Linked DNA regions of Pelodiscus sinensis. The main gene of each other region encodes a partner of the protein of the gene in region 3 in a complex. Links are inferred from orthologs where the notes say so. Each region holds a gene or a part of one and is shown on either strand. Other genes may lie near its edges.

What was found.
Region 1: MBTD1 (region 3) and MEAF6 share a complex: the UniProt entries of both Homo sapiens proteins name them as parts of the nuA4 histone acetyltransferase complex. The link is inferred for Pelodiscus sinensis from reciprocal best matches to the Homo sapiens genes MBTD1 and MEAF6.
Region 2: MBTD1 (region 3) and ING3 share a complex: the UniProt entries of both Homo sapiens proteins name them as parts of the nuA4 histone acetyltransferase complex. The link is inferred for Pelodiscus sinensis from reciprocal best matches to the Homo sapiens genes MBTD1 and ING3.
Region 4: MBTD1 (region 3) and VPS72 share a complex: the UniProt entries of both Homo sapiens proteins name them as parts of the nuA4 histone acetyltransferase complex. The link is inferred for Pelodiscus sinensis from reciprocal best matches to the Homo sapiens genes MBTD1 and VPS72.

The regions. Positions count from the first base shown.
Region 1 is NC_134735.1:9,831,217-9,838,387, reverse strand, and holds the start of MEAF6 (chromatin modification-related protein MEAF6), read left to right. Parts: upstream 1-4,166; 5' UTR 4,167-4,266; coding exon 4,267-4,362; intron 4,363-7,171.
Region 2 is NC_134711.1:42,743,945-42,751,547, forward strand, and holds the start of ING3 (inhibitor of growth protein 3), read right to left. Parts: upstream 3,003-7,603; 5' UTR 2,871-3,002; coding exon 2,843-2,870; intron 2,708-2,842; coding exon 2,636-2,707; intron 2,603-2,635; exon of another isoform or gene 2,318-2,602; coding exon of another isoform or gene 2,227-2,317; intron 1-2,226. UniProt on the Homo sapiens protein: Component of the NuA4 histone acetyltransferase (HAT) complex which is involved in transcriptional activation of select genes principally by acetylation of nucleosomal histones H4 and H2A.
Region 3 is NC_134730.1:15,381,834-15,389,335, reverse strand, and holds the start of MBTD1 (MBT domain-containing protein 1), read left to right. Parts: upstream 1-4,497; 5' UTR 4,498-4,498; coding exon 4,499-4,603; intron 4,604-4,890; exon of another isoform or gene 4,891-4,913; intron 4,914-5,036; exon of another isoform or gene 5,037-5,541; intron 5,542-7,502. Other genes in the region: UTP18 (U3 small nucleolar RNA-associated protein 18 homolog), read right to left, coding at 287-363, 1,459-1,554, 1,742-1,872, 3,200-3,445. UniProt on the Homo sapiens protein: Chromatin reader component of the NuA4 histone acetyltransferase complex, a multiprotein complex involved in transcriptional activation of select genes principally by acetylation of nucleosomal histones H4 and H2A.
Region 4 is NC_134734.1:15,611,898-15,619,512, reverse strand, and holds the start of VPS72 (vacuolar protein sorting-associated protein 72 homolog), read right to left. Parts: upstream 3,014-7,615; 5' UTR 2,923-3,013; coding exon 2,809-2,922; intron 1,769-2,808; coding exon 1,616-1,768; intron 1-1,615. UniProt on the Homo sapiens protein: Deposition-and-exchange histone chaperone specific for H2AZ1, specifically chaperones H2AZ1 and deposits it into nucleosomes.

The DNA.
Region 1 (7,171 bases), on a different chromosome or scaffold from region 3:
GGTACATCAATACAACTAAAATTTGGAGAAAACTTGATTTTTTGTTTTAAGTTTTACAGCCCTTTATTGTTTTTGTACTTTATACACTGAAAAATGTCATCACCCGCCCGGCTACGATTAAGTTGTTTAAAAAATGTGTTGGAATGGTAGAAAAAAATTGTGTCTGAAAACTGTAGGTACTGAGAGTCCTTTTTTTTAAGGGGGTACTTAATTTTTTTAAAGGGGTATTTTATTAAAAAAAAGGCTGAGAAACACTGCTGTAGATTACTAGATCCAATGGTTATCTTCTGAGGAAGTGGGTCTGGCCCACAAAAGCTCATCACCTAATAAACCATCTCGTTAGTCTTTAAAGTGCTACATAGTCCTGTCTTTTGTTTCAACTAGACCAGACTAATATGGCTGCATCTCTATCACTATTCTAATGACCCTGATTGATCTATGTAACAGGACAAGCTATGAAAGAAGTCATTGACCGGTCTACTGACAGTTGTACTGATGTAACTATGTTGGGTGGGGATGTGATTTATTTTTAAATGTTAACTGTTATACTAGTGCAAACTGTGGATGCAGTTATTCCCCTTCCTGTAGAAATAGCTATATAGAGATTCAGAGGGGTAGCTGAGCTAGTCTTTAACACGAAAAACTTAAAAAACAACAAATAGTCTAGTAGCACCTTAAAGACTAACAAAACATGTAGATGGTATCATGAGCGTTTGTGGGCAAAATTCACTTCAGTATAACAAGTCCTCCGGTCATCTGAAGAAGTGGGTTTTGCCCACGAAAACTCATGATACCATCGACATGTTTTGTTAGTCTTTAAGGTGCTATCGGACTATTTGTTGTTTTTTAAGTTTATATGAAGATTGTTCATCTTTACAATCACAATTGCATCCACACTAGAGGGGTGTACTGATTTTATCGCTTCAGTACTAGGCAATTTACTTGGCGTTGCCCGGGTCCTTACCTCAATTAATTTTTGTTTTTTTGGAAAATAAAATTGAAATGTGTGTGCTTCATTTAAATCATCGCTCTGGCATGGGGCTGGGGACGAGGGGTTCAGTACGCAGATGGCCCAAGGAGAGCGAGGAATATCCTAGCCCTTTCTCACTGCAGCTGCTTGGAGCTGGGTAAGAAGCACCTCCCCATGGCCACTGCAGCTCCAGTGAATAGAGCTGGGAGAGGGGTGCAGGTCTTCCCCCTGGGGCAGGTCCAGGTTCATCTGCCCCCTGTACTCTCCAGCCAGAGTGAGGAATATAGCAAACTGTGCACTTTCCTCTGGTTATCTGACAAATGGAAATGACCAGCAATGTCCCTGTATAAAAGAGGTAGGGGTGGAGAGCTTCGCCCCCTCACCCACTCTACCTGAAGGGCACCTGGGAGATGGAAGACTTGGGGCTGAGGCAGACCTGCTGGGTGGGGAGGTGGAAGGGGTGCAAGTCCCCCCATCCAGCCCCTTTCACCTTCCTGGTGATTGTCTCTCTTCTGTATGGTTTTATGAGAAGCAATCCCATTCCAGGCACATCCCATTTTTCTGGCACAAGAGGAAGCTGTATACCAAATTTGGTGGTCCTAGCTCTTACCTTTTAGGAGGACTTCTTGAACAAACAGACAAACTCTCTCAAATATATAGTAGATTAGAAGACTTACCCAGTGTTGCCCAAGTCCTTCAGGGCAGGAGGCCTGAGGTCTGCAGAATATAGGAAGGTCGCCAGGGACTCTCCCTCCCCTGTGGCGAGGTGGCCTGCCAGGGGCTCCCTCCTCCCGGGGCTTGCCCTTCCCCCTCTCCCTTCCTGGGGCAAAAAGGGGCTGGCAGGGACTGTCTTCTGTGCATGGGGGCCCCATTTACCCCGTTGGGTGGTAGGCAAGATGGTGACCCCTTTTCTCACTGGCCGCTCTCAAGGTGATACAGCTGCCCAGTTTCTCTGTACTATTGATCCTCTGTGCTCCCTGCCTTCCGTGAGTATAGCATCTCTCCAAACAGCCCTTCCCTTTCTGGAAAAGTCCTATTCTCTATAATTCTCATTTTCCTGGCACAACCAAACTCTGACCTTGCTTTAAGTTAGGAAAAGAGGAAGCTGCCTACCAAATTTGATGGCCTTAGCTCTTACCATTTAGGACTTCTTGAACAAACAGACTCACAGACAGATGCATACAGTATTTCTAAAATATATACACAGCTAACACAGTGCAACTTTTCAGTGCAGACAGGGCCTTATTGGCACTCCTGTGTGTCACATAGTTTAATTCTTATGCTAATGGTCTAAACAGGGATCCTGGATGGCTCTCAAACTATCTTCCACCTTTTAATAACTTAACCAACCAACGGAGGTGCTAATGGTTCTTAACTGACTCCTGTAACTACTTGAACTATCTACTCACCATCTACATGTTTTGCTAATCTTTGAAGTGCTACTAGAATAATTGTTGTTTAAGTTTTATCTACTCATATCTCTCTTTTTCTTCCTCCCCTGCCCTTTTTCTCTCCCCCCTGCCCTCCCACCTTCCCTTTTCTTATTTATCCTTGGATCTGGACTCATTATACTCCAGTCATCTGAAGAAGTGGGTTTTGCCATGAAAGCTCATGATACCATCTACATGTTTTGTTTGTTTTTAAAGTGCTACTAGACTATTTGTTGTTTTTTAAGTTTTTACATACTTTATTAGCTGGTGTCAGTAACTTGAATCTTCAGCAAAAATGGAGCAAATGAAAAATGGATGTAGCTTTAGTATTTCTAAATCTTCAGGAAAGCAAGTGGTATTGCATAGAAGTCAGAGAAGAAGGTTCATGTTTCATATGCAGCAGGAGCAGAGCCATTACAAGCTACAGTATGTTTCAAGGGAACAATGAAGGACATTACACACTTCTAAATAAACTTATTTTAAAAACTCAAGAACATTCTGATCTCTCCAAGAATGTTCCTTAGGAGGTACGTTTTCTTTACAAGAAACTTACTGCCAGGAAGAAAAAGCTGATCATTTTGCCAAACAAAATCATGTGAGTTTGCATAGTTAGTAGCCAGGGCTAATTAAAAACAAGCTTATTTGGAGTACACCTGATAAGATTACTGGAAGGTCAGGAGATGAACCTGACTCCAGAGAACAGTGAGTATTGACTTGGCTAATAACAATAGCTTCCTCTAGGAAAATATTAAACAGTGAAAATACGGAAGGGTGTCCAATTCAAAATAAAAACTAAGGGCTTGTTCAGAGGTGAATGGGATATTGGGGGGGACTGAGGATGGGGTCTTAGTGCTTCTCTGGGAAAAGGTTGGATGAGGGCACCAGAGGCTGCCTGAGGGGAGGGCTCTGTGTGCAGTGTGGATAGGATGGGTGGCTCTGAGTGGGGGTGCTATGTGTACATGGTAGATGAGGTGCAGAATGAATGGGTGTCCTAGTGGTGGAGGGGCTCTGGGTAGATGGACATGAGGGTAGGGATGATGTGGATGGCGTGTGTGGGGGATGCTGAATAGGATGCCAAAAGGGACTCTGCAGGGTAGATGGGGAGGGCGGTGAGGGGGTCCCTGGGCTGCAAGGGAGGGTCCCCGGGCGGTGGGGGGGATAGTGGCGGGGGGCCCCTGGGCAGTGAGGGGGGGGCTCGGCGGTGACTGGGGGTCCCCGGGCGGTGAGGGGGGGCTCGGTGGTGAGGGGGTCCCCGGGCGGTGAGGGGGGGTCCCTCGGGCTGTGAGGGGGTCCCTGGGTGGTGGGGGGGATAGTGGCGGGGGGCCCCTGGGCGGTGAGGGGGGGCTCGGCGGTGAGGGGGTCCCCAGGCTGTGAGGGGGGGCTCGGCGGTGAGGGGGTCCCCGGGCGGTGAGGGGGGGGGTCCCTCGGGCTGTGAGGGGGTCCCCGGGCGGTGAGGGGGGGGTCCCTCGGGCGGTGAGGGGGTCCCCGGGCTGTGAGCGGGGGCTCGGCGGTGGGGGGGGTCCCTTGGGCTGTGCGGGGGGGTCCCTCGGGCGGTGAGGGGGGGTCCCCGGGCTGTGAGGGGGGGTCCCTCGGGCGGTGGGGGGGGGTCCCTCGGGCGGTGAGGGGGTCCCCGGGCTGTGAGGGGGGGTCCCTCGGGCGGTGAGGGGGGGTCCCTCGGGCGGTGGGGGGGATAGTGGCGGGGGGCCCCTGGGCGGTGGGGGGGCTCGGCGGTGAGGGGGTCCCCGGGCGGTGCCGGGCGCGGGGGGTCCCGAGGCGGGCGGGTCTCAGCGCTGCCCCCGGCGGACCCGGCCGGCAGCGCACGCGGCTCCCGCCCCCTCCCGGCCGCTCCCGCCCGCCGCAGCCATCATGGCGGCGCTGCACACCAAGGCCGGGGGCCCCCCCCAGATCCCCGACACCCGCCGCGAGCTGGCCGAGCTGGTGAAGCGCAAGCAGGAGCTGGCGGTGAGGGGCGGGGAGCGCGGCCCGACCCCCCCCCCCGGCCCGTCCGCCCGGGCCGCGACAGGCCGCGCCCGGGAGCCGGCTAGGCCGCGACTCCCCCCCCCCGCCCTGCGCAGCCTCGGGTCCCACCCCCTGGGGGCACCGGCCCTGGGGGGCAGAGAGGATGGGGGGCTGGGGAATGGGGGGTACTAGCTCTGGGAGGGAGAGGGTGGGGGCTGGGGAATGGGGGGTACTAGCTCTGGGAGGGAGAGAGGATGGGGGCTGGGGAATGGGGGGTACTAGCTCTGGGAGGGAGAGGATGGGGGCTGGAGAATGGGGGGTACTAGCTCTGGGAGGAGAGAGGATGGGGGGCTGGGGAATGGGGGGTACTAGCTCTGGGAGGGAGAGGATGGGGGCTGGGGAATGGGGGGGTACTAGCTCTGGGAGGGAGAGGATGGGGGCTGGTGAATGGGGGGGTACTAGCTCTGGGAGGGAGAGGATGGGGGCTGGGGAATGGGGGGTACTAGCTCTGGGAGGGAGAGAGGATGGGGGGCTGGGGAATGGGGGGTACTAGCTCTGGGAGGGAGACGATGGGGGGCTGGGGAATGGGGGGTACTGGCTCTGGGAGGAGAGGGGCTGGGGAATGGGGGGTACTAGCTCTGGGAGGGAGAGGATGGGGGGCTGGGGAATGGGGGGTACTAGCTCTGGGAGGGAGAGGATGGGGGCTGGGGAATGGGGGGTACTAGCTCTAGGAGGGAGAGGATGGGGGCTGGAGAATGGGGGGTACTAGCTCTGGGAGGGAGAGGATGGGGGGCTGGGGAATGGGGGGTACTAGCTCTGGGAGGGAGAGGATGGGGGGCTGGGGAATGGGGGGTACTAGCTCTGGGAGGGAGAGGATGGGGGCTGGGGAATGGGGGGTACTAGCTCTGGGAGGGAGAGGATGGGGGCCTGGGGAATGGGGGGGTACTAGCTCTAGGAGGGAGAGGATGGGGAATGGGGGGTACTAGCTCTGTGAGGGAGAGGATGGGGGCTGGGGAATGGGGGGTACTAGCTCTGGGAGGGAGAGGATGGGGGGCTGGGGAATGGGGGGTACTAGCTCTAGGAGGGAGAGGATGGGGGGCTGGGGAATGGGGGGTACTAGCTCTGGGAGGGAGAGGATGGGGGGCTGGGGAATGGGGGGGTACTAGCTCTGGGAGGGAGAGGGTGGGGGCTGGGGAATGGGGGGTACTAGCTCTGGGAGGGAGAGAGGATGGGGGCTGGGGAATGGGGGGTACTAGCTCTGGGAGGGAGAGGATGGGGGCTGGAGAATGGGGGGTACTAGCTCTGGGAGGAGAGAGGATGGGGGGCTGGGGAATGGGGGGTACTAGCTCTGGGAGGGAGAGGATGGGGGCTGGGGAATGGGGGGGTACTAGCTCTGGGAGGGAGAGGATGGGGGCTGGTGAATGGGGGGGTACTAGCTCTGGGAGGGAGAGGATGGGGGCTGGGGAATGGGGGGTACTAGCTCTGGGAGGGAGAGAGGATGGGGGGCTGGGGAATGGGGGGTACTAGCTCTGGGAGGGAGACGATGGGGGGCTGGGGAATGGGGGGTACTGGCTCTGGGAGGAGAGGGGCTGGGGAATGGGGGGTACTAGCTCTGGGAGGGAGAGGATGGGGGGCTGGGGAATGGGGGGTACTAGCTCTGGGAGGGAGAGGATGGGGGCTGGGGAATGGGGGGTACTAGCTCTAGGAGGGAGAGGATGGGGGCTGGAGAATGGGGGGTACTAGCTCTGGGAGGGAGAGGATGGGGGGCTGGGGAATGGGGGGTACTAGCTCTGGGAGGGAGAGGATGGGGGGCTGGGGAATGGGGGGTACTAGCTCTGGGAGGGAGAGGATGGGGGCTGGGGAATGGGGGGTACTAGCTCTGGGAGGGAGAGGATGGGGGCCTGGGGAATGGGGGGGTACTAGCTCTAGGAGGGAGAGGATGGGGAATGGGGGGTACTAGCTCTGTGAGGGAGAGGATGGGGGCTGGGGAATGGGGGGTACTAGCTCTGGGAGGGAGAGGATGGGGGGCTGGGGAATGGGGGGTACTAGCTCTAGGAGGGAGAGGATGGGGGGCTGGGGAATGGGGGGTACTAGCTCTGGGAGGGAGAGGATGGGGGGCTGGGGAATGGGGGGGTACTAGCTCTGGGAGGGAGAGGATGGGGGCTGGGAATGGGGGGGTACTAGCTCTGGGAGGGAGAGGATGGGGGCTGGGAATGGGGGGGTACTAGCTCTGGGAGGGAGAGGATGGGGGCTGGGGAATGGGGGGTACTAGCTCTGGGAGGGAGAGAGGATGGGGGGCTGGGGAATGGGGGGTACTAGCTCTGGGAGGGAGAGGATGGGGGGCTGGGGAATGGGGGGTACTGGCTCTGGGAGGAGAGGGGCTGGGGAATGGGGGGTACTAGCTCTGGGAGGGAGAGGATGGGGGGCTGGGGAATGGGGGTACTAGCTCTGGGAGGAGAGAGGATGGGGGGCTGGGGAATGGGGGGGTACTAGCTCTGGGAGGAGAGAGGATGGGGGGCTGGGGAATGGGGGGTACTAGCTCTGGGAGGGAGAGGATGGGGGGCTGGGGAATGGGGGGTACTAGCTCTGGGAGGAGAGAGGATGGGGGCTGGGGAATGGGGGGTACTAGCTCTGGGAGGAGAGAGGATGGGGGGCTGGGGAATGGGGGGGTACTAGCTCTGGTAGGAGAGAGGATGGGGGCTGGGGAATGGGGGGTCCTAGCTCTGGGAGGAGAGAGGATGGGGGGCTGGGGAATGGGGGGTACTAGCTCTGGGAGGGAGAGAGGATGGGGGGCTGGAGAATGGGGAGTACT
Region 2 (7,603 bases), on a different chromosome or scaffold from region 3:
GCTGAAAAAGCTACCACATCAGACTAAGCCTTTAATAGAACTCAAATAGAAGAAAAACATAGCCAGCTAGTTTCTGTGCAGGGCAAATCAAGGTATCTATGCAAGCCTATGTACATACCAAACAATGTCCACTTGCTTTTTTAAGTCCTTTGGGTAAATGGCTTTCAAGAAGTCAGGGAGAAATTCAGCTGCTCTGTTACACCATTTTAAAACCTAATCTTACAGCACATAGAACAATGGCATATGACCAATATGCCCAAAGAGCTCTTATTCTCCCCTTTTCACCAAGACAATAAAAGGTACTCACAGGAATAGTGACCAGATATCTAAATACTTCAGAACAATTTTTTTAAAAGCAAGGTTTTTTTGCTGGTTTAATAGCTTGTTCAGCCAAGTTCCTTTGAAATCCACTATGGTTAATAAGAGGCAGCTTTTGGGAAAAAAAGGTCTTCCCTCCCCTCCTTTGCGGGAGGAGGGCCAAAAGAATGAAGGGCAGCCTTTCCATTCTTTATTTTTTAGGTCCTCAAAGAGGTCTGGTACAGGACACAACCCACAACTTTTTCTTAATCATTGAATAGCAGCCCTTATGAGCCAATTTTCTAAAGACCTTGGCATTTCTCTTGCCAAAATGTTCTACCAGGGTGAAGGCATTTTCCAGAGATTGGCCTTAGGCTACATAAGCTTGGTAATCTACAACTTGATCTTAAAAACTTTCAACACATCACTTGAAGTTATATACTTTTTCTATGACTATTTAGTAATGAGAGGTTCCCAGTCCCCCAGATGGTCTAAAACATGGTGCAAGAGTAATTTTAATTCTAACAGAGAGGGATTCCTGGCCCAGATGTCACTTCTAAGTTTCTAAACCAACACCCACTCAAGTCAGTTGACTTACACAGCTGTTTTAAAAATTTTGGGAAGATGGGATCCTTGCATTGATCACAGTCTTGCTGCACCCCAAGAGTTCTCTGATTCATATGTAATGTCCAACCAGCAGTCATGATCACAAACAGCTGGATTGGAAGAGATAAGAAGAGTGCCTGGAATTTCTACACTACTTTGGAAAGCTCTACACTACTTTGTGAAGCACAAGAAACACTGGAGTTACAAAGGTCTGGGAAAAAAGTTTTTCTATTGACTCCCATGACATTAGGGTAATCTTGGTTAAAAAAAAAAATACTGTGTGTGAAAAGATTCACCCCCGTCCAAAGAAGCACCAAATCATGAGTCAAAGAGATATATTTGTGGTCTCAGTTAGAGGCTGCCAAAAATCAAAGGGCTGCAGGTTTTCTCTTGGTATCACCTACTTACATTGTAAGAACTAGCAACACCTTTTAAGTCATAATTCAATATCAATGACTCCAAGCCCTGAAGCCTAAAGTACACAAAGGCTGAGACACGTCGGAGTCCTTGGATATAGAGGGCAGGTGCAGAATGCTTCAACAGAGATGGTGAGACTGATGAACCAGACCCACTGGGACAACAAGAAATTTCAATGTTCAGAGATCAAGACTGGTTAAGGCTTTTATTTCAGAAACCTATGGATTGATCTATTGCTAGATGGATGAAAGTCTTCAGGATTGTGCCTCAAGGTGGCATTCTCCACCATACTTAAGTTAATTGGGTTACATCTGCAAGAGGATCCAAGGCACTACTGTAGGCCCAAACCTGTTAATTTGCTCATCCATTAAAGATCATCTCCAGGATATAGTATGATGCTGCTGAGTTGCCTTCCTACCTGTCTGAGAAATCAAGACAACATATGGAAATCAAAGAAATTATTTAAAGCATGATGTTTCAACACCTCAGATTCACAAAGAGCGGAGATTTCGTGAAGAATCATATCAAAGCAAAAACCTAATCCCAGGTAGACATCCTCTGTGGTATCCTGTCACTGAATCCCTACAGGAACAAGTGGTCAAAGGAAGTCAAAAGGCAGGACTCCCAAAAACAAAAGTAAAAATAGAAAATGAGCCATAAGTGGATGGCAAAAAGGAATACCACAAAGATACCCAAGAAGACTGGATTCCTGACAAGCACAGCTAGGGTGCCAGCAACCGGAAAAGGATGTGTAGGGAACTCCTTCATCCAGCATGCCTAGGCAGGGATGGTTCAGACACAGTGCACAGCCTCCGGCTGATAGAAGGGGGCAAGTGAAGCTCCAGCCCGTTGCCAGGGACTTGAGAGCCAGCACCCCACCGCTTGGTAAGTGCCACCTTGACTTGCCCTGGGGCGCCGCACAAGCCCCAGCAGTGAAACTCCTTCCCCCTGGCGTTGCCGCAGGGCATCTGCAGACCCGAATTCGGCTCGGTGTCATGTCAACACACCCGGCGCCGCTCGCCCATGGCTGCTCGAGGTCACGAGGCAGCCGGTGGCAGAAGGGAAACAGCTCGGCACGTTTCCGCCCAGCGCGCTCCGCCCCTCGCTGCGTGAGGCGCCGCGGCTACCCCCGGCACCCGCACGGACCGCTCGCTGGGCAGGAGCGTCCCCTCGTGCCGGGCCCGCTCAGCCCGGGAGCAGCGGCTACGAGCCGCGCTACCGCCGCCGGCCAACGCCTGACTGAGAGCGCTGGGTCCGCGCCCGCCCCCGCCGGCGGGCTGGGCGCGTGGGCGGGAGGTGGGCGGGACTCACGTACTCTGCACCTGTAGGTCCATCTCGCGCATCTCGGTGAACCTGTCGCGCAGATCCATGGGTAGCTGCTCGATCACTGCGGGGACACAGAGGGGAGGGGGAGGGAGCAGTCAATCACCGCCATGGGAGGGGGAGGGGGAGCCCCCTCGCTGCCGCCCCCGTCCCGCTCGGCCACCCGGCCGGCTGGGACCCCCGCCCCGCGCGCACTCACTCTCCAGATAGTCCTCCAGGTACAGCATGGCGGCGGCGAGGCCAGCGCGAAGGGGCTTCTCGCTAACGCGGGGATCGTCCCTTCCAATATGGCGCCGCCGCCAACAACACCAGCACCTCGACTCGGCGAAAACAACATTGGCGGCGGACGGGGCTCGTTCCGGCCCTGCGCCGATTGGCTGCCTGCGCCTCTGACGTACGCCATGGCTCGCGCCCGCCCGCAAGGTCCTGGGAAACGTAGTAGCCGTGTGAAGGCGGGAGCCGGGACTACATGTCCCACAATGCACCGCCCAGCGGCGGCTGCCCTCCTCCCAGTAGAGACGGACTCGCCCCGGAGTTGAGGGGCGGGGCTAATCCACGAGGCAGAAGCAGGCGGGGTGTGGAGCGCGTGGCGGGGTGCTGCCAAGCCCCAGCGCGATCTCCACGGGCCGGCGCTGGCCAAGGCACCGTGCGCTGTGCTCAGCCGCTGCCGAAGGGCGGCATCCAGGCTAGCCAGCTTCTGAAAGTGATTTTTATGGACCGTTTAGAAAAAAAAAATACAGACCCCCCCCCCCCCCCGGCTTGTGTTCGGACACATTCTTATGTAACATGAAAATGGCTCAAAAGGATCAAAGTGAACAATATTCTTTGTTTTAATTCATAGGTCACACAGCAAAGTTATTATGCTAGTTGCACCTACTTATTAGTCACATCAGAGCCCTCCAAGTTCTCCAGTGTGTGATGAAGTGACTGGGGGGAGAGGGGGAGGAGCTGGGACTGGGGGCTGCCACCAGTCCTGTGATTTACCAGCAGGCAGTTGGTGATTGATGCCCAGCACATTGTACTCATCTCTCCCAGTCCAAGGGAGCCAGGCAGAAGTGTGTGCTGCACACACACTCACCAAAAGTTGCTGCTGTGCTGACTTTAAGGATACCGAAACAGAGTTCAAAACTGGAGGCAGCATCCTCCAACCATCAGAGACTGAAGCCATCTTCACCAGGAGAATTCCCCTCTCTGCCCCTGCCATGGAAATTGTAGAGTCCCTGGAGCTGCCCAGTGAATCACAGAATCATGGAGGTTGGAAGAGACCTCAAGATATCATCCAGTCCAACCCCCTGCCCAAAGCAGGATCAACCCCAACTAAATCATCCCAGCTTTGTCAAGCTGTAATTAAAAAGCCTCTAGGGATGGAGATTTCACCACCTCCCTATGTAACCCATTCCACTGCTTCACCATCCTCCTAGTAATATAGATTTTCCTAATATCCAACCTAGACCTCCCACACTGCAACTTGAGACCATTGCTCCTCATTCTGTCATCTGTCACTATTGAGAACAGCCTGACTCCAGCCTCTTTGGAGCCCCTTTCAAGTAGCTGAAGGCTGCTATCAAATCCCCCCCCACTCCCCCTCCACACACACTTTTCTGTAGACTAAATAAGCCCAAATCCCTCAGCCTCTCCTTGTAAATCATGTGCTCCAGCCCCCTAACAATGTTTATTGCCCTTTGCTGGACTTTCTCCAATGTATCCACATCCTTTCTGTAATGTGTGGCCCAGAATTGGACATAATACTCCAGATGCAGCCTCACCGGTGCCGAATACAGGGGAATAATCACTTCCCTACATTTGCTGGCAATGTTTCTACTACTGCACCCTAATATGCCCTTAGACTTTTTGGCTACAAGGGCACACTGTTGACTCATATTCAGCTTCTCGTCCACTGTAATCCCCAGGTCTTTTCTACTGAACTGCTGCTTACCCAGTCAGTCCCCAGCCTGTAACAGTGCTTGGGATTCTTCTGTCCCAAGAACAGGACTCTGAACTTGTCCTTGTTGAACCTCACCAGATTTCTTTTGTCCTAATCCTCCAATTTGTCTGGGTCACTCTGGACCCTATCCCTACCCTTCAACGTATCTATCTCTCCCCTAGCTTAGAGCTTGCCTTGGCACCAAGTGGGAGGGATTCCTCAGCTGTGCTCCAAAGCTCAGTGTTTTTTAGTGATACCTAGATTTTTTTTATGGATTTTACAAACAGGTCCAATTTTAGCTCTTCTTTATGGACTGTTCATGAATTTACTGATGATTGGCAATCTTGGAAATGTCACATCCCATCATTCAGTGAGTACATGGTCTGCAAGGCTGGTGGCCTGGAGCAGGAGCACATTCTGTGGCAGTGAAGGAAAGCTGCACCGATGACCCTGCACTCCTTCCCTTGTGTGACAAGTGATCCTACTGCACCAGGTTGCAATGTCACTCACTCTGTTTTGGCATCTTGTCCGTAGGCCTTTCTGGAGAGTCATGGCCCAAACCTGAACAGGCAGTGGGAGACTAGCACTGCTGATCCTCCTTGCCACTTCCAACTGCATATCCTCTGTATCATGCAGGGGAAGCAGCATCACTGATTTTAAAATGTATAGTACTAGACATCAGGGCTGCATCTAGATTGGCATGATTTTCCGGAAATGCTTTTAACGGAAAAGTTTTCAGTTAAAAGCATTTTCGGAACAGAGCGTCTAGATTGGCACGGACGATTTTCCGCAAAAGCACTTTTGGCAGAAAAGCGTCTGTGCCAATCTAGACGTGCTTTTCCGCAAAAAAAGCCCCGATCGCCATTTTCATGATCGGGGCTTTTTTGCGGAAAACAAATCTGAGCTGTCTACACTGGCACTTTTGCACAAAAGTTTTGCACAAAAGGGACTTTTGCGCGAACGGGAGCAGAATAGTATTTCCGCAAGAACCACTGATTTCTTACAGTAGAAAGTCAGTGCTTCTGCAGAAATTCAAGCGGCCAGTGTAGACAGCTGGCAAGTTTTTCTGGAAAAGCGGCTGATTTTCCGGAAAAACTGGCCAGTCTAGACACAGCCCAGGATTCCAGTCAGAAAAAAGGTTGAAAATATAGCAAGTCTTTAAAAAGGCCCCAGAAAACCTCAAATAAAAATGTATTTTGGTGTTGAAACTAAACTAATTTTGGCTCTGTATTTTGGAGCCTGACTTTTCATTTCTGAACCCCTGAAGTTAGGAATACTGCACATGGGTCAACAATATGTATGTAACTAATATAATGTATATGTATTGTCAATGGGTGGAACTGAACCTGGGTCCTCTGGAGTTTAGTGCATGAGCCTCTAGAGCTTGAGCTAAAAGCTAGCTGGTTCTCAGTTGAGCCTGTAGAGCAAATGCATTCTTCTCGCTGTAAGTGGTATCAGTGCCACTACATGAGACAGTACATCACATCCATAAGGTTTGTGGGTTACATATGTACCAAGTGTATTATGCAACTAACTCCATATATTATCACATGAATCACTAATAGAGGCTGCCACTGTCCATATTCAGTTATTATATAAAATATGATGTGGGCCTAATCTTAAACCCACTGACTTGAGAATATTTCCATTGAATGCACTCGACTCTGGGTCAGGGCCAAAATAGGGATATTAACGTATAGCCATTTAAATGATTAACCCATAAGCCTAGACTTATGGGTTAACTAAAATAGCTACACTCAACCTCCCCTGCCCCTTTATCAGGCAGCAAAGGGGATGTGAGGCAGGAACCGGTGCCCAGAGGAAGCCGGCTTTTAAGCCATTTGTGCATGTATGCCAACTCCACAGAGCCCCCTACCCCCTCATCCCTCTGTGCTGCTGCCTCTATATGGGGGGCAAGTGGGATGCTGGTGCAGCTTCTGTTCATGGGGAGCTCAGACCCCCTGCAAAAAGGGGCTGCTGCCACCCCACCCTGCTGCCTCTGTATCAGAGGCAGCAGCGTGGGGTGGCAAGTGGGAGGTGGTCTGCATAGGGTGCCAATTTTTAAGCCATTTTTCCTTGTGGAGAGGCAGCAGCATAGGGTAGCAGGGGGCATTCCCTGGGAGTGGGGCTGGGAGCACACTGGCTGCCAGCCCTGGCCCCAGACTATTTTTAGTAACCATATAACTGCTTAAAACTGTTCCAACTGTACAGTTACTGAAATACATGGTATCTAACACCCCTAGTCCAAAATATAGGAAACCATGGCCCTCTCAGAGGTAATTAGACTTGTGGTTGAATTCCTCTAGTCTTTCATCATTTACTAAAAAAATGCCATTTCGGAATGAAGTTTTCATGTTTCATCTCAGTCCAATAAGGACAGGGTTTGGCTGTTTTAGTAGTAGTATTTCCAGAGAATTTAGGAACCCTAGTCATGTACCAGGACCCCATTATACTAGGCACTGTACTAACAGAATGAAAAGATGATCTCTGCCCCCAAACAGCTTGCATTGTAAATGGAGTTTGATGGGTGATGGGTAGAGAGTTGTAAATGGGGTTGATTTGTCAGCAGCATAAGAATTACCATACCAGTGCAGGACCAGTGGTCCAGCCAGTACTTCATCCTGATTCTATCTAGTGACTTGTATCAAAGGAAGGGACAAGGATCTCTATAATAAAAGTTTGAGTGGAAATCTTTTAGCGCTGTTTATCAGTTACTGCTGAAAGCAGTAATCATCAATACTTGTGAAGAAACCATTGGCTACCACACCAGACATCATCAGGACTGGTTTGATGAAAATGATGTTGAAATTGAGCAGCTCATTAATGAGAAGAGAATGACATTTTATGCTTGGTAGAATGATATAAATTGCAAGACAAAGAGAGAAGCCCATGCTAAGGTGAGGGCAGAAGTCCAATGTAAGACCAGAGAACTCAAGAATAAATGGTGGACTGAGAAAGTGCAAGAACTCCAACATTTTATGGAAACCCAGAGTACACATGGTTTCTTTATGCTATTAAGGCTGTTTATGGGCCAGC
Region 3 (7,502 bases):
CCTTTACTGCTCGAGAGGAGACGACATACTGGAGCTGATCAGGACACCCTCTGAGTTCTATACTAGACCCACTAAATTGAACCCCAGAAGATCAACTGTGGCAAAGTTGAACTTCGGCATAGCGTAGACATGGCCAGAGAAGGCATAAAGCAGCAGGTATACAGTACACAGTAAAAGTTAAAGCAGGAAACGTGCCAGGCAACAAATGACTTTCTAAAAGGTCACACAAAATAAAGGATCATGTTGGAAAAGCGAATGCCTTTCTAATGTATTTAAATATATTTACCATCATTTGCATTTTTTCTGGCTTTCTTCTTGTGTTTCTGGGCCCAGAAAGGCACGCCTCCCATAGCTCTCTGAAATCTAAAAGAAAGGACAATTTTCATAGCCCCATTCTTTTCTAATGATTTGTGTATCATACTGCCAAAAACTGATTTTTCTGCAACTTTTCTCTCACTAATAGGTAGACATTAAAACAGTGCCTCCTAACAATTACACCATCTCACTCAGATGCAGCAGCCAGACTTCTTTTGCTGTTTTTAAATAGATCTTTTCTACTCTAGCTTCCATGAACTGATTCAGCACAGAAAATCTGAACTAAATGACATACATATATAAAATGTTATACTCATACATGCCTAGATGGCAAAGTTCACATATATAAGAAATAGTGCTGTAAAAGGTTAACTGGTAAGCTTTGCCCTTAAGAGGTAAGGCTTACCAGTTCCGTTTAACTGGTAGGGGCTAAAGCAGCTCCTTGCACACCTCTGCAGAGCCCACAGCACATATAACCACTATAATTTTTGGCAGTTACATGGGTGCATTTTTAAATCCCTAATAAAAAGGATGCTTAAATACACACATGCAATAATTAGGGCATATAAATATTATGCTATATGTAAAATTCTGTTTAAATGGTTAACTGTTTAAATGTAATGTTTAACTGGTTAACCAATTAAAAGGGGAGTGAGGAGGCTGCTCCAGCCAACCTGGGCTGCAACAGCCTGCCTCACTCCCACGGGGTTGGATGCATTTGATTGATGAAGCTACTTATTTTGTTGCTTAACGGATTTTATGAAGTCTAATTTGTATGTTAACTTCTCTCCTATGTCATATAATGGTAAGGAAACAGAAACAAGACTGTGCTCCAATGACAATAAAGCTTTCAATAGTCTCCTCTCCATACCACAGAGCAGCTGAAAGCTTCAATGACAAGCAATACAATCACATGCTAAGAATGTAGGGTTTTTTTCATTATACTAGTTATTTGTTAAGTCCTCACAACATGGTCGATGCTGTTAAGCAGACTAGCTTTAAGGAATTTAAGTTATTCACCCAAGTCCCTTGGTGAAAAAGGAGAAGAAAAAAAAAAGAGCAAATCTTACTTGAACATAACATATCTTATGTTACTAAAATTAACAGCAAAGTTTGCTAACATAATCCATTAACAATTCTTACTGTTCTTGAAGTCTCTGATTAAGTTTCTCTTTGGTAAGCTTCTTCTCTGCATCACTTTTCATCATGCCTTTGCGATAACGATGTGTCATGTCAACTCTAGGAAACAAAGCCATATTCTCAATGCTAAAACTGCAAAAAGCATAGTAGCAATCCTTATTTTCTTGAAGACTTCAAAAAGCAGCCATTTAGAACAACACACTCAGTATTTCTTCCAATTCTTGAAGTCAATACCTCTATTTCCCCTTATTTCCAGTCACATCATAACATTATGAGCTTAACTCACATTTCCTCAACTTCATCATCATCATCCACCCAGGCAGGTTTTTTAGATGCAGGAAAATTATCTTTTGCTTCATTCTCCACTTCTGAGTCACTGATGTCCTCTTTTAGAAGATTTCCTGTGACAGTATCAAGCTTAAAGAAAAAACCCATACCATATGGTCAAACACTGGACAAATTTAATATTTACAACTTTAAACAGAGAAAGTTTAAAAGACATTTTTCCATAGGGGAAAAATAAAAGAATCGTAGTAAAACCACTGCTTTTCCCATCTCCGCATGCTGGGTGTAGAGCCAGGAGGGATACAGAGTGCAGTTCCTAATGCTCCCCTCCTCCAAATGCCCACCCCAACCACAAGAATCAGACAAGCAGTTATCTCCCCTCCCATAGTCCATACCCACTATTTCTCAGGAAAGGTCATAGTTTAGAGAACAATTTATTTATACTAAAAAGACACATCTGTTAAAAAAGCCACCTATCTATTGCTACTGACAGACTAGTCTACATGTAATAAGATGCACCTTTAAGCAAGATTTTCAGTAAGTTCCAGCTGTATTCCTAGGTCTTTCACTCTTAATGCCAAAAGTCCCACTAGATCTGAAATTGATTCTGCCTGCGAACCCACATTCAGTATAGGGATGTATTCGACTAGTTGCTTCCTCCCCCACCTCCCCATCAGATGTGTCATGCCCCGCTGGCCCTGTGGTGCTTGCACATTTAAAATGTAGCAAAAGCCAGCAGGTGAAAGTGCCCTTCTCGACTAATTGAATAGTCGATGCAAATTACATCAACTATTCCATTAGCTGATTAATCTAAATTTAACATCATTAGTTCACTACCTACAAATGTAGTGGCTATTGCTACAAGCAACCCAAAGCAGTTTTATGCTTCATATTTAAAACTGCCCAGAAAAATAAGCCACATATACATTTAAGTAAGATTTTACACATATAACTCTAACCATATAAATAAGACATATAAATGTAAGTAAGACTTTAGTCAGGGGCCTATTCCCCTTCCCAACAGAGAGCAGTTGAAAGGGGAGGCTTTGCCTACATTGACTGCAGCACACAGTACAAATGGTGTAGATTTGTGCTGCAGCAAAAACTCAACTGTGTCTACAGTATGACTAACTGCACATGGAAGTGGATGGCTCTTGCGGGACGAGGCAGCATGACACTACACCACTACGAATGGCAGGGGAGGAAAGCACCAAGTGGCCACATGCTCACAGGGTTCGGGGGTGACTTTACTCGCCTAAGCATTACCGCACCAGCTACACGGCTATTTGAACCCGTGCTGCGGACAGGGAGCGCCGCATGCTCACTCCCCGTGCGGGGAAAGCGCACCCAGACGCAGGAAGAAGTGAGGCTTACGGGGAGGGGTGCCTCAGTGGGGCCCTTTCTACATCCGCCAACCCCCGTCTTTCCGATCTTTACTTATCCCCTCCCCCCGCCTCACCTTCTTGCCCCGGGCCCGCAACCGCTGCAGCGTCTCCTCCTCCTCGGCCTCCTGGCTGCCGCCGAACACCAGCTCCTCCAGGCACCGCTCCACCTCCGGCTTCCCGGACAACATCGTCAGGTGCCGGGCACGTCGGGCCTCCTCGCCCCCATCGCCGGAGTCTCCCGCCCGCGGCGACTGCCGCCGCTTCCTCTCCGCTCGAACGCGCTTCCGCGCGGGGCTCCCACGAGCAGCTGCCGGCTCCATCTCCACACCCACCTCAGAGCCTACCGTGCCCACAGCGGAAGCGTCACTAGTGAACCGGAAGTAGAAACAAACAAGTCCCGCCCTCCGTGACCTAGTAGCTACCTCCCACCCTGTGATAGGCTCTCTGCCCCCATCACGCCTCTTTCACGTGATTCAGTCAGCGCCCCCTTCAGGCAAGACAGTCTCACGTGATCCATTTCCCTCCTCCCCCCGCTTCCCACGTGATAGGTTCCCAGGCCGGACCATTCCATTGCTCACGCGGAAGGGACCAGTCCCACTTATAGGGCCTAATCTTCCAGGAGCGCGGCTCACAAACGGTAACACGGGGCTCAGAAGCAGCGAACACGCCAACTACCAGTCTGTTTTTGACACGCCGCTTCGAGCACTCTCCCACCAGCCCCCCCTTTTACAAAATAGTTTCACCCTACGGAATACGGCGAGCCAGGAGGATCCGAAGACCTGGGGGCCCAATGAGAGCGCGCGGCGGGATGGGCGCTGCGCCTGCGCCCTGCGGTTATGCTAATGTTGTTGATATTCTGGGCAGGGAGTTGAATTTCTTTCTCTGCCTAAGTGAGAGGCTGAACTTTCCAGGCCACCTCCTGCCCCAGCCGGGCCCGGCCCCTCGGAGGGGAGGGGGGAGCGAGGGAGGGGGCTGAGCCGAGGGAAGGGGGGGGAGAGCAGCAGGCATCCCCTGCCCATGAGGGCCTGATGGAAAACACAAAGGACCTGGTGAGTAGCGCAGCCCCGGGGGGAGACGAGGCAGCGGCCGCCTCTGCGGTGGGTTCGCCTGGCTTACCTGGGGGGGGAGTGGATTGTGTTGGGGGAGGTAACGCAGCGTGGGGGGCTGTGCTTGTGAGGGGGAGCCCCCGGGGGGGTCACTCCGTGGGGAGGGAATGCAGGGGCAGTGCGGGCATGGGGGGCAGCCTGCAGAGTGGGACCTGGGAGGGGGGGAACTGAGCTTGTGTTTGGGGGAGGGAGCCGAGCAGCTGTGCTGGCCGCAGCGTTTGTGTGGGAGGGGAGCAGCCAGGAGCACCCTCCAGCTTCTGTTGTTTCATGAGTCTCTGTCTCTGCTGGAGGCGGGGAGGGGGCAAAGTAGAGGGGAAGCGCGGCTGCAGCATTTCTATCCCCCATCCTCTTCCGTCCGTGGGCACGCGGGAGGTGAGGGAGCCGGAGCCGCGGCGCGAGGGTGCCCGGAGAAAGCGCTGGGGGCTGGGGGCACAGCAGCAGTTACGAGCTCCGGGGCTTTCGGCTAGTTTGCTGTCTTCCTCTCCGGATTCTCCGCCCCTCCTCGTGTGTGCCTGCGGGGAGGGAGGGCTGCAGCTCTGATCCCGGGGCTGCTTCGCTGCTCTCTTTTGTTGCGATTCCTTCTGCGGTGATTTGCAGGCTTCTCTGAGTTCCTGGGAGAGCTCTCGCTAGGAGTTTGATTCGTGCAACTTCAATCTGCATAGCAGACTCTTCTGCGAGCAGAGTAGGTTGCAGTAAATGCAGAGTAGCATCCAGTTGATATGCAATTAGTATAATTACCTGGAGGTACTCATGCTGGGACAGTGAATGAGCACAGAGCAGGGGAGTGTTCCGCAGTGTTACGAGAGAGACTTTAAATGTCTCGCTGAAATACATTGCAATATCTGTCATCACCGGGAAAGAAACGGGTGATGTGGGAGAGGACAGTACCCTCATCAGACGGGTTACCTTTTGTTGTGCTCCCTTTTCCCCTAAGAAGATTGTGTTAGATTTCATCTCTCTGCAGGCTGCCTTTTTGTCTCTGCAGGCTCTCCTGACAACCAGAAACAATAGCAATGGCAATGGGTTTTTGTTTTTAACTGAACAATTCAGACCTGCTGTGATTCCCATTGACTGGTGGGGGAGACAAGAGAGGGAATACTTTTTTTATTGTAGTATTATCTTTTTGCAATTAAGGCGTTTGCTCTGAGGGTTTAATGAAACACGGCGTTTTCAAATGTTGCAATCTCTTTACTTTTACTATTTACAATTTTGGATTTTTATAAATCCAGTGTGTAACTCCATGGTTTGGTTTGCTTTTGGCATTTCTCGCAGCTTGAGCAATGGAACTTTGAAGATAGTTTCACTTTCAGGTTTGTAGATGGATTTCCAAGTACTGTATGGAACTTCTTGGTTTTAAAGAGATGCTATTTATAGTAGACTTTTTTAAATTGATTAGCCATTTTAGTTGGTGATGGTAGTCTTCATAAAACTTTAGTCTTGCAAAATGTACATGTGGGGATATTTATAAATTGGTAGTGCCTCTTTAAAAGTTGCATTCCTTTTAAAGAGAAGTTGTCATTTAAAGCTTGAGAGTCAGTTTAGGGCAAATCTACTCTAGGAAATTATTTCGAAATAACTAAATTCAGCACAATAACACCTGAAAGAGCAAAATCAAAATAGTATGCCCACACTATGGGGAAGCCTCAAAATTAGTACAACGCAGGCTCCATTATTGTGGATGTGCTCCTTTGACTTAGAGTCCCAGGATACCCTGGGGAGTAACTACTTCAAATTACTATGGGGAGTAGCTATTTTGAAATCGCAGCACTGAGGTGTCCGCACAAATACTGTTTCCAAATAACTGTTTCAAAATAAGCATTATTCCCTGAGGAAAGCAGGAGTAAAGATTTCGAAATAACAGGCTTGGTAATATGGATGCTCCGCTTATTTCGAAATAATGGGGGTTATTTTGAAATTACTCCTTAGTGTAGACCAGGACTTAGTGATTTGATATTTTTAGTGTTGGGGTCTCAAAGTTTGTTTTTTTTATACAAGGTAAATAACACAATTATACTTCATTTTTAATAATATTAGGTAACCAATCTGAAAGAAAAATTAATCTGTACTAAATTTACCATACAAGTAGTAGGGAAAAGGGCACTCAGTCTATAAAACAGCAGCTTTGTAATTCTATTTTAACTAGCTTTTTTTGAACAAGTTGTCACAGGGACAACTGGAAACCATAGGAAAGACAAGTTTCCCAACTGGAAGTTAACATACAAAGGAACCAGCAATTTAGACTTGGGTCCTGAAAACTCTTAGGTATATGAATAACTTTATACTGTGAAACAGGATTGGAGTGGGGAAGCAATATTTCCTTAGTTTCTGGTTTATAAAAATAAATGACTAGTTGGAGGACCATTGGTTAAAATGTTTAAGGGTTCGCATTCCTTGCACTTTGATTTTTTCCCCCTTAGTCCCTAAAATTCAGCCTGATTCTGCAAGGTGCTGAGCACAGTCAACTGACAGTTAAGCCTGTTGACAGTGCTCAACAGTTGCTGAATTGTTAACAGTTGCTGTGCAAAAGGTCTGTGAAATGGAGGCCACAAACAGACAGGGAAAACTGACTATAAAATGTCAAATGCAGATACTGAAGACAAAAGTGTATTTCTATAGCTTTTCAGCTACTCATTTGACGTGTTACTTAAGTAAAACCACTGTCCAAAACTTGCCGGTCAGTTTTGGAATTCCAGTGAATCAGAAATTACATTTGGATTGTTGCTAAATTGTTTGCATTTCCTACTGTGCAACAGTGCAATTGTTCCTCACAGTGCAACAGCGGACACAATTATGCTAAAGCTTTACATTTTTAATAAGTTGCTAGAAGGAAAGTTGTTTTGATTTTAAAACAGTTGCAGTATAACCCGTTCAGTTTTTGTGTGTGTATTTTTGAACAGTGCCCCTAACCTTTCCTGACTATTGTTCCCGTTTCAGGAGTCTGATTGGTCTTGTGTACCCCCATGTTTCACCTCACTTAAAAACTGCTTGTACAGGCAGTCCCCGAGTTACGCAGTTACGAACGGGGCGTTCCTCTCCCTGGTCTCCAGCAGACCAGGGAGAGGAAGCAAAGCGGCGGAACACGTGGGCAGCGGACAGGGCTGTCCGCTGCCCACGCGCTCCGAGGCTTGGCTCTGCTTTGCCCCCCCCCCCCCCCCCCCGTCCCCCTGGTCTGCAGACCAGGAGGACAGGGGGAGGGGGCAAAGCAGAGCCAAGCCGCGGAGCGTGCGATCAGCTGACAGCCCGGACGCGTCTGGGCTGTGAGCTGGCCGGG
Region 4 (7,615 bases), on a different chromosome or scaffold from region 3:
ACTATATAATGCTGCTTTGGAGATTTCAGCCCCATTTAATTAAAGGGATTATTTAAACAAGGGATTTTGCTGCTGCTTTTTGCCAGAAGGCCCTTGCTGACATAAATGCCTTTTTTTTTTTTTTTTTTAAAAGTGCTCTGCCCGTAATACTAGTTACACCTTTGATTACAGAAAGAACATTTTCAGTCTCTGATTTACTTTTACTATTACAGGCAGTCCCCGGGTTACATGGATCTGACTTACATCGGATCCCTACTTACAAACGGGGTGAGGCAACCCCGCACTAGCTGCTTCCCTCCAGCAGACCAGGGAGACACGGAGCGGCTTTTCTCAGCAGACACCTTAGCTTGAGAATAAAGGACTGAGGGAAGTGAGGTGTGGGGGAATAAAATTGAGCTCTGGAGAAATGTTTGGCTAGAGTTTCCCCTACAATATGTACCAGTTCCGACTTACATACAAATTCAACTTAAGAACAAACCTACAGTCCCTGTCTTGTACGTAACCCGGGGACTGCCTGTACTATGGTCTGTTTATTATGGTTAGTTTCTAATCACTTAACATCACTCCCGCAAAGTAAGGATGTTAAGTATCGACTAATTAACTAATCGAATAGTCAATGCATTTTGCATCGATTATTTGATTAGTCAATAGGGCGCCTCCGCCTTTGAAGTATAGCAACAGCCCTAAGGGCTGTTGCTACATTTCAAAAGCAAAAGCACTGTGTGGAGCCCAGGCAGATCGCGGGCTCCCCCCGCACTGCCGCAGTGAAATGCCACAAGAAGCCCAACACCAGGCTTCCTGTGGCATTTTAAAGCAGCAGCGCCTTACAGAGCCCAGAGTCAGCAGCGCCTTACAGACCCCAAGCTCCATGTGGTGCTGCCACTTTGAAGTACCTCCTCTTTTCCCTCCGCCCTTGCTGCCTCTATCTGATAGAGGCGGCAAATGGGGGGGAAGTGACTGGTTGACTATCCTGTTGACTATCCGATAAGTGTTTACTTATTGGATAGCTGACTAGTCCTTCACATACCTAGCGCAGAGACCCAAAAATGGAACTCAGGAGTCCTGACTGCAAATTTCCTGCTTAAACTTGAGACCACACTCCATCCCAGAGCTGGAAATAGAACCCAGGAGTCCTGCCCAGGAGACTGCACTCCTGCTCTGGAAGACTATGCTTTCAAGCTTCTACTGCAGCTAAGAACATAAATAAAACAGCCTATAAATGGAATTGCTGTCAACTCCCCAGTTATCCCCTAAATTAGGTTATAATCTGGTTATACTGAGAGTTTTGCCAGCAGTTTTCATATGGGTCCCTCCCTTAGCCCCACAGGGCTATGTCAGAAACAGGGGTTAGCCAGCTGTTGTGTAGAGAACACTGCCCATCATACTGACTGTGGTTGTCTCATTGTTTTCTTGTGCTCCCCCATCTGTATCCACTTGGCACCTCCTGTCATCTACTCAAATTGGAAGCTCTTTGGGGCCAAAACCACCATTTTTTTCATGGGCCATACAGCACCCAGCACACAGGGGGGTATCCCTAATCCATGACTAGTGGGTGCTGCCAAATACAGAACCAGCGGGAGCCATCCAGCACCATGACCAGCTGCTCTGTCCTCACCTTGTAGGCTTTGGTGACCACCCTGCGTTTCCTCTTGGGCTCATCATCATCCTGGTCGCTGGCCGGCTCATCACCCTCATCGATGTCGAAGTCGGAGTCCACTTCGTCGTCGCTGTCCGACTGGTCGCCTTTGTACTCATCATCGCCCGACTCCTGCCCAGGAGATGGGGGGGGGGGGGGAGGAAACAACAGTCAGAAGTGAGTTGCCCCCACTCGCCCAAGCATGTTACCCTCCCATGGGCCCCTCTGCTCCCCACCCACACTGCCCCCACCCCAGCCAGTCCCCAACTCAACCTCCACAAGGGACTGATGCCCCCCCACCGACCCCCAGGGACACCCCACAGCCCCCGTATACCCCCTACAATCCCCCCACCACCCCCCAGGGACACCTCACAGCCCCCCCGTATCCCCCCTACAATCCCTCCACAGCCTCCCACCCCCCCCAGGGACACCTCACAGCCCCCCCGTATCCCCCCTACAATCCCTCCACAGCCCCCCACCCCCCCCAGGGACACCTCACAGCCCCCCCGTATCCCCCCTACAATCCCTCCACAGCCCCCCACCCCCCCCAGGGACACCTCACAGCCCCCCCGTATCCCCCCTACAATCCCTCCACAGCCTCCCACCCCCCCCAGGGACACCTCACAGCCCCCCCGTATCCCCCCTACAATCCCTCCACAGCCCCCCACCCCCCCCAGGGACACCTCACAGCCCCCCCGTATCCCCCCTACAATCCCTCCACAGCCCCCCACCCCCCCCCAGGGACACCTCACAGCCCCCCCGTATCCCCCCTACAATCCCTCCACAGCCCCCCACTCCCCCCAGGGACACCTCACAGCCCCCCTCGTATCCCCCCTACAATCCCTCCACAGCCCCCCACCGCCCCCCAGGGACACCCCACAGCCCCCCTCGTATCCCCCCTACAATCCCTCCACAGCCCCCCACCGCCCCCCAGGGACACCCCACAGCCCCCCTCGTATCCCCCCTACAATCCCTCCACAGCCCCCCACCGCCCCCCAGGGACACCCCACAGCCCCCCCGTATCCCCCCTACAATCCCTCCACAGCCTCCCACCCCCCCCAGGGACACCTCACAGCCCCCCTCGTATCCCCCCTACAATCCCCCCACCGCCCCCCAGGGACACCTCACAGCCCCCCCGTATCCCCCCTACAATCCCTCCATAGCCCCCCCACCTCCGTGAAGCCCCCGTAGGTGGTCTGGTAGAACTCATCCTCCTCCGCCTCCAGCAGCCCCGCGAGCCGGTTCCCCGCCGTGCGCCGCGGCGCCCTGCCCCCCGCCAGGCTCATCCCCCAGCCGCCGGGCCCCGCGAGCGATTGCTCAGGCCTGGCCCAGGCCAGAGCGAGCGCACCGCCGAGCGAATCCAGCCCACGGAGCGCCGAGAGATCGAGGCGGGGAGGCGCGGCCAGTGGAGAACCATGGAGCACCGAGCGATCGATGGAAGCCAGGCTGCCCAGGTAGAACCCCACTGGGCCAGCTGGGGACAGAAGCAGAGACAGGGACAGCTCCTCTACTGCACGTTCCAGAGAGCCTGTCTGTGTGTCTGTCAGCCCCCCAGCTGGGGGACATGAACCCCTCCCCTAGCTGTGCCCGCTGGAGCTGTAGTGGCCATGGACAGATGCTTCTCACTTGGCCCCAAGCTGCTGCGGTGACAGAGGGCTGGAGTGGTCCTCTCTCCCCAGGGCAGCCTGAATACCGAACCCCACGCCCCTTTGCAGAACAATGATTTAAATGAAAAAAAAAAAACTTTTTTGACTTGAGCAATGCCGGGTTCGTCTTCTAGTAATACAAAAAAAATCATCCATTACTGGCCATCTGGATTTTGATGCTAAAGGTGTTGTTATTTTCAATTTTCCCTGCAGCCATGAAGCCTCCTGGTTTGAGCTGGGAGGCTGACAGACTTGTTGGGCTCCTGGGCAAGGCTGGGCAGCTCCATGCTCCCAGAAGGGGCGGAGCCTCAGACAGGAGGGGGCGGGATTGGGAAGCCCTCAGCACCACCTGGAGCAGGGATGAGTAAAAGGGCCTTCGCAGGCCAGATCTGGCCCACCAAGTGCGTTGATCTGGCCTTGCCTCTCCCCCACCCCCCAGGCCAATCAGAGCCTAGGGATGGGGGAGCGCACAGCACGGTGAACCCTGGCAGTTGACTCTAAGCACCATGCGCTAGAAGGCAGGGAATGAGCAACTTTGTGTGCTCCCCCCCCCCCCCCCCGCCACCCCCAGACCAATCAGGGCCTGGGAGCAGGGGAAAGCACGGGAAGTCTCTTCCCATCCTGCCAGGAGTGTACGGCACTTCTAAGCGCTGCATGTTCCTTGCAGAACAAGGGCAGGGCGGGAGGAGACTTTGCATGTTCCCCCCATCCCCAGGCAAATCAGGGCTTGGGGATGGGGGAAGCGCACAAAATCTCCTCCTGCCCTGCAAGGAGCTCAGTACTTAAAGTCAACCACCAGCTGCTGTTCTGCTGGCGGTTGACTCTAAGGCTACGTCTACACTGGCACCCTTTTCCAGAAATGCTTAAAACGGAAGGCTACGTCTAGACTGGCCCCTTCTCCGGAAGAGGCATGCAAAGCAGGCAAGTCAGAATAGGGAAATCCGCAGGGGATTTAAATATCCCCCGCGGGATTTAAATAAACATGGCCGCCGCTTTTTTTCCAGCTTGGGGAAAAGAGCGTCTAGACTGGCGCAATCCTCCGGAATAAAGCCCTTTTCCGGAGGATCTCTTATTCCTTTTCCGGAGGATCGCGCCAGTCTAGACGCTCTTTTCCCCAAGCCGGAAAAAAAGCAGTGGCCATGTTTATTTAAATCCCGCGGGGGATATTTAAATCCCCCGTGGATTTCCCTATTCTGACTTGCCTGCTTTGCATGCCTCTTCCGGAGAAGGGGCCAGTCTAGACGTAGCCGAAGAGTTTTCCGTTATAAGTATTTCCAGAAGAAGCGCGTCTACATTGGCAGGATGCTTTTCCGGAATAAGTGGCCCAGTGTAGACAAGGCCTAAGGGTGGTACTCCCTTGCAGGTCTGGGGCAGGAAGCAAGAAACTTTGCGTGCTCCCCCTCCCCCAAGGCCTGATTGACTTGGGAAGCAGAGGGGAAGCACGTGAAGTCTCCTCCAACCATTGGGGAACGGGTGCCTAGAGAGAACTGCCAGCTGTTCAGAAGAGCTGGCAATTCTCTCTGCAGGGGTGAGAGACAAAGACTTTGCGTGCTCCCCTGTCTCCAGACCAATCAGAGTCTGTGGGTGGAGAAGCACTGAAGTGTCATGGCCCTGCCCTTTCTGCCTGAGGTCCCGCCCCTTCCAGCAGCCTGGGGCCACTTCAAACATTTCTGAAGTAGCCCCCAGTCAAAAATTATTGCCCACCCCGGCCTCGAGTGTGCCATGCTGCCCTCTCTCCCAAACCTCAGAGCCACCTGGAGCACGCCATGCAGTGCTCCCATAGTGATTTACAGGGCCCAGGCTCCCACCACTTCTACTCCACTCCCTCTGAATTGCCAGATCCCTTTGTCTCCCCATCAATGGGCCTGTGTGTGGACAAAAAAAATACTGTAAGCATCTAACACAGTGGGGGTTTGTCCACAAAAGCTTATGCCCAAACAAATATGTCACAGGACTCCTCGTTATAATTCCACCACAGCACAATGGGTTTGTGGCCTCCAATGGGAAATACATCTGCCCATTGGTCTTATCCCAGTGTAAGACACAAAGATCCATAGGCCAGATTCAGTATGCCCAATCCTATTGAAGTCAACAGCAATTGCATTCACTAACAGCAAGAGATTAATTTGGTCCACAAAGAAAAATAAACCAAATCTTGACTCTCACTAGCACTGTCTCTGCAGCGGAAGTTTTTTGAACACTTTCCACGAAGCATGCCTTTGTTATGGGGTGTTCATTTCTGATTTCTCAACATGATTAACTCATCTTGGTTATAAATCTAGATTGATAATATACCCGGAAGAAACTTACAAAACTCAGCTAATAATGCATGATGAACTAATTATCTCTTGATCGGCTTTGTTGCTAAAATATGTTCTGTGATTCTGAATTTGGAACTTTCAGGTTTTTTCACACCATAGGACACAGGTGCCAGCTTCCTCCTTTCCCCAGGAGTGCTCAACCCCAGACTCAACCTCCACTGTATCCCTTCACCAGGCCCCACCCTCACCCTGCCTCTTCCTTTCCATGTTGGGCCCCTGCCTTGCCTCTTCCTGGCCAGTTCTACCCCTTCTCCTGAGTGCTCCTTTCCAGCTCTTCTTGCACACTGCAAAGCAGCTGATTGTAAAGGCCAGGTGCTGGAAGGGAGGGGAGGGAATTGATCCTTAAGTCCCTCTGGCTGGTGAGATGTTCTGGGGAGGGGAAAACGAAGGTGCCTGCCTCTGAAGGAGGAGGGATAGCTCAGTGGTTTGAGCCTTGGCCTGTTAAACCCAGGGTTGTGAGCGCAATCCTTAAGGGGGCCATTTAGGGATCTGGGGCAAATCTGTCAGGGATGTTACTTGGTCCTGCTGTGAGGGCAAGGGACTGGACTCAATGACCTCTCAATGTCCCTTCCAGCTCTATTAGATGGTATATCACCATATATTATTATTATAAGTGCTCATTGTCGACCTAACTTACATCTTCATGCAGCCACTGCAGCTATTGAATTGCTTGTGTGCATGCACGCTTGGCTCCTTGTGTTGGTGGATACTACCAGGAGCTCTAGTATCCATTGTATTGCCAGTGTGGGGCACTGTGAGACAGCTCCTGACAGGCACGAACAGTTGACATAAGTATCTCAGTGTCTACACTGACGCTGGGTCAGCCCTAATTTCATTGACCATGACTCTACGCCGCTTGGGGAGATGTATTACTAATTTGGCATAGAGAGGCACATAAACACCAGTCGGAGCCAAATGTAAATGAAGTCACTTCCACAGCCAGATCACCACAAGGCAGCTAACATTGACCTGTGTACTGCAGACCAGGCCTAAATGTAGGAAATCTAACTTGACTCACTTGGGTTTTAGTTTCAGGTTTGCTGGGACCAATAGCTCCTCCTCGTATAAGTGGTAAGAAATAATGTTTGGAGATTGTATGATAACACTCATTCCATTACCTATCTGATCTCACATCCTTCTGCTCTTTGCTGCCCTTTAAGATTTCCTCTCTCTCTGGCTTGATTGATGGTTACCCTGCATTGGAACAATATAATTTAAAACCCGCTTTGCATTAATGTAAATAACAACGCAACACTCAAGACAATAAGGAACCAGGCTGAGAATCCAAACGGTGCATGTGCATTGCTGTTTGCTTGTGCTGCGTTGTCTGTCTGAAATTGCTTTTGCTTTCTGAGATTCATTACAGTGTTGTCTAAAGGTTCGAGCGCAAACATGGGAATGAAGTTAATGTTCATGCATATTTTTTTAAGTCAATGTGAACTTTGCCCGAGTACAGACTGCAAGGCGACAGGCTTAATTATTGTGAGACAAAAGAGGCCAGCTCCTTCCCTGATAAAACTCCATTGATTTCAAGGAAGTTACATCACAGATAAATTCAGCCCAGGATATGTGCAGACCAGATGTAGGGGCATTGTCACTGACCAACGGGTAACGGCTTTCAAAGCCAAAGGTACTTAGGGGCCTACCTCAAATGGGAATTAGGCACCTACACACCTTTGAGGATCTGGATCTTAGTTACCAGGATTATTCTGTGTTATTTTAACAGCTGTCAATTATTTTTCTTTAGCGTATAAGGACTGTTTTTTGTGTATTATTGTTAAAGGATGTGTTGGGGGGAGGTTACTCAGTGAATGCCTTAAGCAAAATAAAATGTAACTAATTACAGCATCTAGAATAAGGCCACCCAGTAACTCCCAGAATCATTCTGCCACATGGGATGGAGTGCTTGTCAGGTAATCTATTTTTAATATTGATTCTTGTAATAGCAAATCTTGCTGGACCTATTTTGGGGCTTTGGTGGATACACATGTGGGTGTAAGAGCTGAAGGGTT